2 linked regions of the Coturnix japonica genome follow. The protein of the gene in region 1 purifies or fractionates together with the protein of each later gene. This does not show direct contact. Links are inferred from orthologs where the notes say so. Each region holds a gene or a part of one and is shown on either strand. Other genes may lie near its edges.

What was found.
Region 2: the proteins of NDUFAF5 (region 1) and NDUFAF8 purify together in Homo sapiens (affinity purification with mass spectrometry; 3 studies listed by BioGRID and IntAct, counting the BioPlex papers as one, with this or other methods). This does not show direct contact. The link is inferred for Coturnix japonica from reciprocal best matches to the Homo sapiens genes NDUFAF5 and NDUFAF8.

Annotation. Positions count from the first base shown.
Region 1 is NC_029518.1:10,854,159-10,858,462, forward strand, and holds the start of NDUFAF5 (arginine-hydroxylase NDUFAF5, mitochondrial), read right to left. Parts: upstream 2,956-4,304; 5' UTR 2,930-2,955; coding exon 2,717-2,929; intron 2,647-2,716; coding exon 2,606-2,646; intron 1,820-2,605; coding exon 1,756-1,819; intron 1,637-1,755; coding exon 1,589-1,636; intron 1,497-1,588; coding exon 1,393-1,496; intron 838-1,392; coding exon 798-837; intron 236-797; coding exon 38-235; intron 1-37. UniProt on the Homo sapiens protein: Arginine hydroxylase that mediates hydroxylation of 'Arg-111' of NDUFS7 and is involved in the assembly of mitochondrial NADH:ubiquinone oxidoreductase complex (complex I, MT-ND1) at early stages. May also have methyltransferase activity.
Region 2 is NC_029533.1:5,096,537-5,099,497, forward strand, and holds NDUFAF8 (NADH dehydrogenase [ubiquinone] 1 alpha subcomplex assembly factor 8), read left to right. Parts: upstream 1-1,354; 5' UTR 1,355-1,407; coding exon 1,408-1,488; intron 1,489-1,575; coding exon 1,576-1,686; intron 1,687-2,176; coding exon 2,177-2,197; 3' UTR 2,198-2,346; downstream 2,347-2,961. Other genes in the region: AP-4 complex accessory subunit tepsin, read right to left, coding at 9-100, 769-841, 993-1,034. UniProt on the Homo sapiens protein: Involved in the assembly of mitochondrial NADH:ubiquinone oxidoreductase complex (complex I, MT-ND1). Required to stabilize NDUFAF5.

The sequences.
Region 1 (4,304 bases):
GTGTTTTGGATTGCTCTGATTGTTTATGTATAGTTACCACAGTCAGGGTGTTAAACCCAGCTCTTGCCAGGAGATGTCCCAGATCTGACACAGCAACAAACGGTGACACGTGAGGAGAAAATCCCCCTTCTCTCTCCAACTCTGCCAGCTGCAAAGAGCAGCGAAGCTCATACAGAGTGTCTCCCCCAAACATTGCACCAATGAAGACTCCGTCTGGCTTAAGAACGTGGTGAATCTACAACACAGATGGAAAAAGAAAATATTGTGCTTTTAATATCAATAAATACCTGGGTGTTTGTTTTTGTTTTTTTTTTTGTTTAAATGAATTTAAAAGCAATCATAACAGCTTCGATACAATTTATGTAATATACTGCGGTCTGTAATTTTCCTATTCCATAACAGGGTGCTCATATTCGTACAAAGGGGTGACATGTTTGAAATGAAGGAGGAATTGAAACCAGGAGAAGATATTCCTTGCTCTTGCTCCAAAGGCAACCCATTGGAAAGGAAGTTTTCAACAGCATCACCTCAGTTCACATTAGTTCCTATGATCTCAGCTGTTGCAATGGTGAAGTACTATACAAACAGGCTTTGTGGTTATTTATCCTAAATTGAATCGAGACAGCAAGTTAACAGAAGCATCAACTGATAGCCCTCAAACTGACAGAAACATTGCAAAGAACACCTGAGTGTAACACGAGCTGTTTTTGTGGTAGGAAGCGGACAGAGCTCCGAATGCAAGTAATGGTAAGTGTTGGTTTTTCATTTAAGAAGTTGTATTAAAAACAAATCCTCACCTCTCTAAAAGCTTTAGGAAGGTCATTCACCCAGTGTAAACTGTAACACCACAAACGAACGTCATGAAGTTTGGGGGAAGGCAAAAAAAATACGTTATACATAACATATACATACAATTAACAAACAACTTCTCAGCCTGCCAAAGTTCCCAAACACTTGCGGAGAATCGTGGTGATACTGAATGAAATTCATGTCAATAGCTAAGAGGTTGTTGTGTTGGTTTTTTTAAGGACTCGAAAAGCTGCAAATCAATTAATTAGTCAAAATACAGGAAAAAGAGTCCATGTATTTTCATAGAATGTTATGGATTGGAAGGGACCTCCAAGCCCACCCAGCCCCAATACTCAGCCATGTGCAGGGCTGCCCCCCAGCAGCTCAGGCTGCCCAGGGCCCACTAACCTGGAGCATCTCCAGGTTCAGGGCAGCACAGCTCTGTGCAACAGTGCCAGGGCATCACCAACCTCTGAGTAAAGAATTGCTGCCTAACATCTAACCTACCCCTGCTGTTTAAGGCACTGATATTCTGACAGCAATGTGAAAATACATACATATATAGCTATTTAAATAAAGAGTAAAGAAGCGATCGTCACATACCTCAGGCTACTCACAACAAGGTCAAACGTGTCTTCTTTGAAAGGCAGGAACTCCTCATCAGCCACCACGCTGACTGTGGGGATGTCAGACTCTACAGTGTTTTTCTAAGGTCAGGTTAAGGATAAGAAGCGCCATCAGCAACGTACCGTTTGTGCAGCACTGCGCCGAAGTGCTTCAGCTCTCAGGAGATACTTACGAAAACATTCTCCGCAATATCGACCTGAACGAGTTTTTCGATGACTTCCTGAAACGAGACAAGTCACAGCCATCAAAGGCAGGCTGGGCACAGTGGCGTCAAGCATGAAGACATCTCCTTAGCGCTCCGGCAAAGCTCTTTCTTTGGGCATCCCGTTGGCCCCGTACCTGGTTCAGGTGCTGGGCGATGTACCCTCTCCCACAGCCGAGGTCCAAAGCGAGGGGGAACGTCCTGCGGGACAAGCGTGGTAACGGAGTGTTGGAAATGTCCTCAATAATTCTGGTCAGGACAGTATCTCTGATAAAAGCAGTTTTTATTCACGATTTCAATGGCGGGCGCCCTGATGGCAGAAGCGCCACTATGGACATGATGTTACAGTTTTGATCCCTTTTCTCCCATATGTTTTCCCCTCCCTTCTCCCCTTTGGTTGGGTATTACAGGTTACAATTTTACCCGAGGTTTGCATTTGTTAATTACATTCTGAAATTTGTTAGTTCACTTGCTATCTTGTCAGTCGCCATCCTGCTGTTTCTGTTTCCAAGATGTCTCGGTACTCTTATCGTATTGATATGTTGATTCCCTTCAAAGCTTCTTCTATTCTGTCCCAGACGCCTTTGTTAAACAAAGTCCTTCCCGATATCTCTTCAGGCACATCCTTAGGTATGTCACGACTTGTATTTTTGTACAACAAAACATTAATACATACATTGTTGCTAGTTTATACAGGCATATTGTTAATTATTTTAACTTCTCTTTGGATCCTTTATTACTCAGGTCTTATTTGTCCAGCACCAAAAAAACAGTAGTTCCTATTAGTAGTAGTTATTAAATTCAATTAAATTAGTAGTGTCTATTTCAGACAGCTGGACAGACAGGAGCTGCAGTCTTTGTAGCTGTGATTTCTACCTAATAACTACAAATTCCTTTACTTATATAATGAGACCTTGAAATAAAATATTCTTATCTTATTCTAAATAATTAAACAGCATTTGATTCCCACAGGAGGAACGCTCGTACCTGGGGATGTCGAGCACCCGGTCCGCCACGCCGCAGCCGACCTACGGGAGAGCAGCCGCCCGTCAGCACCGCGCCCCGCACGGCACGGCCCCGCACAGCCCCATCCCGCACCTCATCCCGCAGGTACTCGTACTTCGCCGGCTGCAGAGCCGCCCAGTTCTTCTGCTTCCTCTTCAGCCGCCGGTCAAACGGGCTCCGCGCTCCCGGCGATGTACCGCTATGAGGGGGAACGTTGGCCTTGCGGCCCGGCTGTGCCCACAGCCGGCACCGGCACCGCGGGGCGGTCAGGACGGGTCGACAGAGCGCCCGCACCGCCGCCATCATCCCCACTACGCCGCTATGTGCGCACGCGTGGGATGAGCCGCAGCTCCGCCACCGTGTGGGACATGGTGGGAAATGCATCGTAAAGCTTTGGGTTCACAGCTCGGTTATAGCTATTGGGAATCCTGATATCCCAAAGTGATACCTGTGTGTGTACCTTTGGAATCATAGCATTATAGAATCACAAGGTTGGAAAGAGGGAAGATTTAGGTTGGATGTTAGGGGGAAGTTCTTCACTAGGAGAGTGGTTAGGTCCTGGAACAGGCTGCCCAGGGAGGTTGTGGATGCCCCGTCCTTGGAGGTGTTCAAGGCCAGGTTGGACGGGGCCCTGGGCAACCTGATCTAGTAAAGGTGTATGTTTGGTGGCCCTGCCAGGCAGGGGGGTTGGAACTACATGATCCTTGAGGTCCCTTCCAACCCGGGTCATTCTGTGATTCTGTGATTCTGTGAAAGGACCTACAAGATCATCTGGTCCAGCCATCCTCCCATTACCATGGCTATAGCAGACCACTAAACCAGATCTCATAGCTCCTCATCCAGCCACCTCTTTAACACTGCCAGGGACGGCGGCTAAATTTAAGTCCACAGGCCAGGACCTCAGCCTTGTGATCTGTCTCCTCCATCTTTCCACTGAGCCATTCACTTATCAGCTTCTTTTTGTCTTTTTTTATTTGGCATTTTGCTGTCACTGTCAGTGACAAAACCTGTGTATGGGAAATTGGTAATCACAGCCTGAACCTCTGATTAATCAGCTGAGGTGAGTGTTGGGTCAGCTGTGGGAGCACAGGTGAGAGTAATTTAGCTGTGCTCCTGGAAGGGGTGGAGCTTGACTCCACCTCCTCTAGACCTCATTTAAGGGCTGACCACCACTAAGGCAGCATCTCTTGGTGGTTGCTCCTTGTTGAAGATTGTCTCAGTGGTTCCCAGCAGACTGAAGGCTTCCATATGGGTGAGTTTTTCCTGTAAATAACCTTTTGGATATTTACTACTATCTTTTCATTATTGTCACCGTACAACTTGTCATACCACAGTTAGTATCCTGATGCCCTTCCACAGCCATATCACCTTCTTGTTTATCACTGCTACACTGTCTTTCTCCAGCATGAGAATCCTGAAAACACTCTTTGATCATCCTTGCCAGTAGTTGAGATAGCAGGTAGCCAGCTCACCTAAACAGGCTCAGACACCTTGATGGAAAATATTCGCTATTACTTTCTGTGGCCTGCATAGACGCATATGAAGATACCACCCTGTGTGCCTTGCACAGGGACTCTAACCTCCTAGTGCCTGTAGGAGGCTGAGTCAGATAGAGTTGCTGCTACATAACATGTTCAAGTGATTTGGGTGCTGCTAGTAATTAAAACAACAATCAGAATTT
Region 2 (2,961 bases), on another chromosome or scaffold:
TGTCGTACCTTCAGCTTGACGTGGCAGGAGCCGCCGCGCAGCCGGCCCAGCAGGAACTCCAGCAAACACTGACTGCTCCCTGCTGACTCACGGGAGATCTCTGGGCCGTGTGTTAAGGATGGATGGATCTCACCCCATTGCTGTCCCCATTATGTGTGTTAGGAATGGATGGATCTCATCGCATTACATGTGTTAAGGATGGATGGATCTCACCCCATCATTAGGTCCATGACGTGTGTTAGGGATGGATGGATCTCATCCCATTGCTGTCCCCATTATGTGTGTTAAGAGATGGATGGATCTCACCCCATCATTAGGCCCATTACATGTGTTATGGCTGAATCTCACCCCATTGCTGTGCCTATGACGTGTATTAGGAATAGATGGATCTCCCCCCACTGCTGTCCCCATTACATGTGTGTTAGGGATGGATGGATCTCACCCCATTAGGCCCATTACATGTATTAGGGATGGATCTCACTCACCCCATTGCTGTGCCCATTACATGTGTTAGGGATGGATGGATCTCACCCCATTGTTGTGCCCATGATGTGTGATAGGGATGGATGGATCCCACCCCATCATTAGGCCCATTACATGTGTTATGGCTGGATCTCACCCCATTGCTGTCCCCGTTATGTGTATTAAGGATGGATGGATCTCACCCCATTACATGTGTTAGGGTTGGATGGATCTCCCCCCATTGCAGTCCCCATGACCCGTGTTATGGCTGTCTCTCTCTCCCCCCATATCTCCCCATTCAGATACTGCTGATCTCCTCCAACACAAACCCCGGGCACGGCTCCTCCTGGTCCGCAGTTCCCCGCAGTAACACCGGCAGCTGAAAGGAGGCACAGTGAGAACCCAGCGATCCTAAAAGGCCCCACAGAACCGCCCCCCCCATCACCCCGAGGGATAATCAGTGACGTCACGCCCCCCACGGTGACGTCAGTCCACCCCCTGATGACGTCATCCCCCATCTCGGCCCGTACCCGGCTCAGGAAGCACAGCCGGTCCCGCAGCGGCGCCGCCATGACAGTCCGCTCAGCTCCCACCCGGCCCCAGAGCGGCCTCAAACTTCCGCCCGCAGGAAGAGGCAGAGCACCAATGAGAGAGCGAGGTTCACAGGATCAGCCAATCAGCGCTCAGAATGGGCGGAGCTTCGGGCGGAAGTGGCCTACGGGACTGACGCCGGTAGCAGGAAGTAAACAACTGTCCTCTTAGCCAATCAGAGCTACAGGAAGCTGGTCAGGAGGCGGGTGCTGCGCGCAACCAATCCACACCACCGGATTTTCAATCCAGCCAATCCAAGCGCGCAGAGCGCTGACAGACGCAGCGTTCCTCCTATCAAGAGGCGGGCAGCCAACAGCTCTTCCGCCATCATGGCGGCGCCCTGTGCATGAGGTGATGTCGGGCCGAGGCGTTTGGCTCCGGGCTCGAGCGCGGCTGCGGCGCTTCCCCGCTGTGTTGGCGGCGTGCGGGGAGCAGGTGGGGCCCGGCCTGGAGCACACACCGGGACACATGGGAGCCATGTCGGGCTGTGGTGACTCCGGTTGTTTCCTGTCCCCGCTTTAGGCCGCAGCCTACGGGCGGTGCGTGGCCGCGGCATCGGCCGGGAACGCGGAGCTGCGACGGGACGCGTGTGTGAGGGAGTTCTGGGCGCTGCGGGAGTGCTGCCATAGAGCGGTACGGACCAATATGGGACCGGGATACGGGGCTGGAGCAGCGGCACCACGGGGACAGGATGAGGGAGATGGGTGTGTTCAATTGGAGAAGAGAAGGCTGAGGGGTGACCTCAGTGCAGCCTGTCAGTACCTGAGGGGAACTTACTGCCAGGAAAGGGCTGACAATAGCAGGACACGGGGAAATGGTTTGAAGTTAAAAGAGGGAAGATTTAGGTTGGATGTAAGGGGGGAGTTCTTCACTATGAGAGTGGTTAGGAACTGGAACAGGCTGCACAGGGAGGTTGTGGATGCCCCGTCCTTGGAGGTGTTAAAGACCAGGTTGGACGGGGCCCTGGGCAACCTGATCTAGTAAAGGTGTATGTTTGGTGGCCCTGCCAGGCAGGGGGTTGGAACTACATGATCCTTGAGGTCCCTTCCAACCCGGGTCATTCTGTGACTCTGTAATATGGGGATGGAGGAACCGGGACCAGCTCACACAGGTCAATCTGCAGGCGGCGGCGACGGCAAAGTGATGAAGCTGACCGAGGTGATGGAGGTGACCGAAGTGATGGAGCTGACAGCTGGAGCTCAGGGTTGGCCTCTATTACAACCCCAACCTCAGGCTCCTTCACCCCACGCAGCTTTTCCCCATCAACCCGTTTATTAAAGCACTAAAATCAGATCGAAATGCTTCAGCTTATTTTATTGATCCGCACGGTTCCGTCTCCCACCAGCCCCGCTACAGACGGTCCCTGTTAAGGAACAGCCATGCGCTGCCCCTCCTGGGCTGCTGGGGAATGGCCGGGTATCTTTGGTCCTCTGTGTTCATGGAGACAAATGCCAACAAACCCACGATGCCACGGAGACGTTCAGCAACAAACCCACGTCACCAAATGCATGGCAGCACCACGGGGCAGGAGCGTGTCCTTGTCCTCGGGTGGCCCCAGCACTGTGAGAAGGGAAGGCTCCTCCTATAGAAAGGCCAGTGACAAAGCACACTGCAGGCTCCAACACTGAGCAATGTGCTCTTGAGCCCCTGCCTTGCCCAGTCCCTGCTGTGCAGGGCTCCTGCTGGTTGTGCTTTAAGACAGCGCGATGGAGAAGCTCACTTGTACAATGAAGTCCTGAGGGTTAAGGCTACGGCAGTCACGAGGAGACGCACAGGGAAGCGGGGTGGGAGCTCCTGGTGAAGAAATGGGGCTGAGTCGCTCTATGTCTCCGTGCTGCATTAACTCAAGGATGTCCTTCAAACAACAGGTGCAGGCACACAGCAGACTTTGGCTGCTGGAGCAGACAC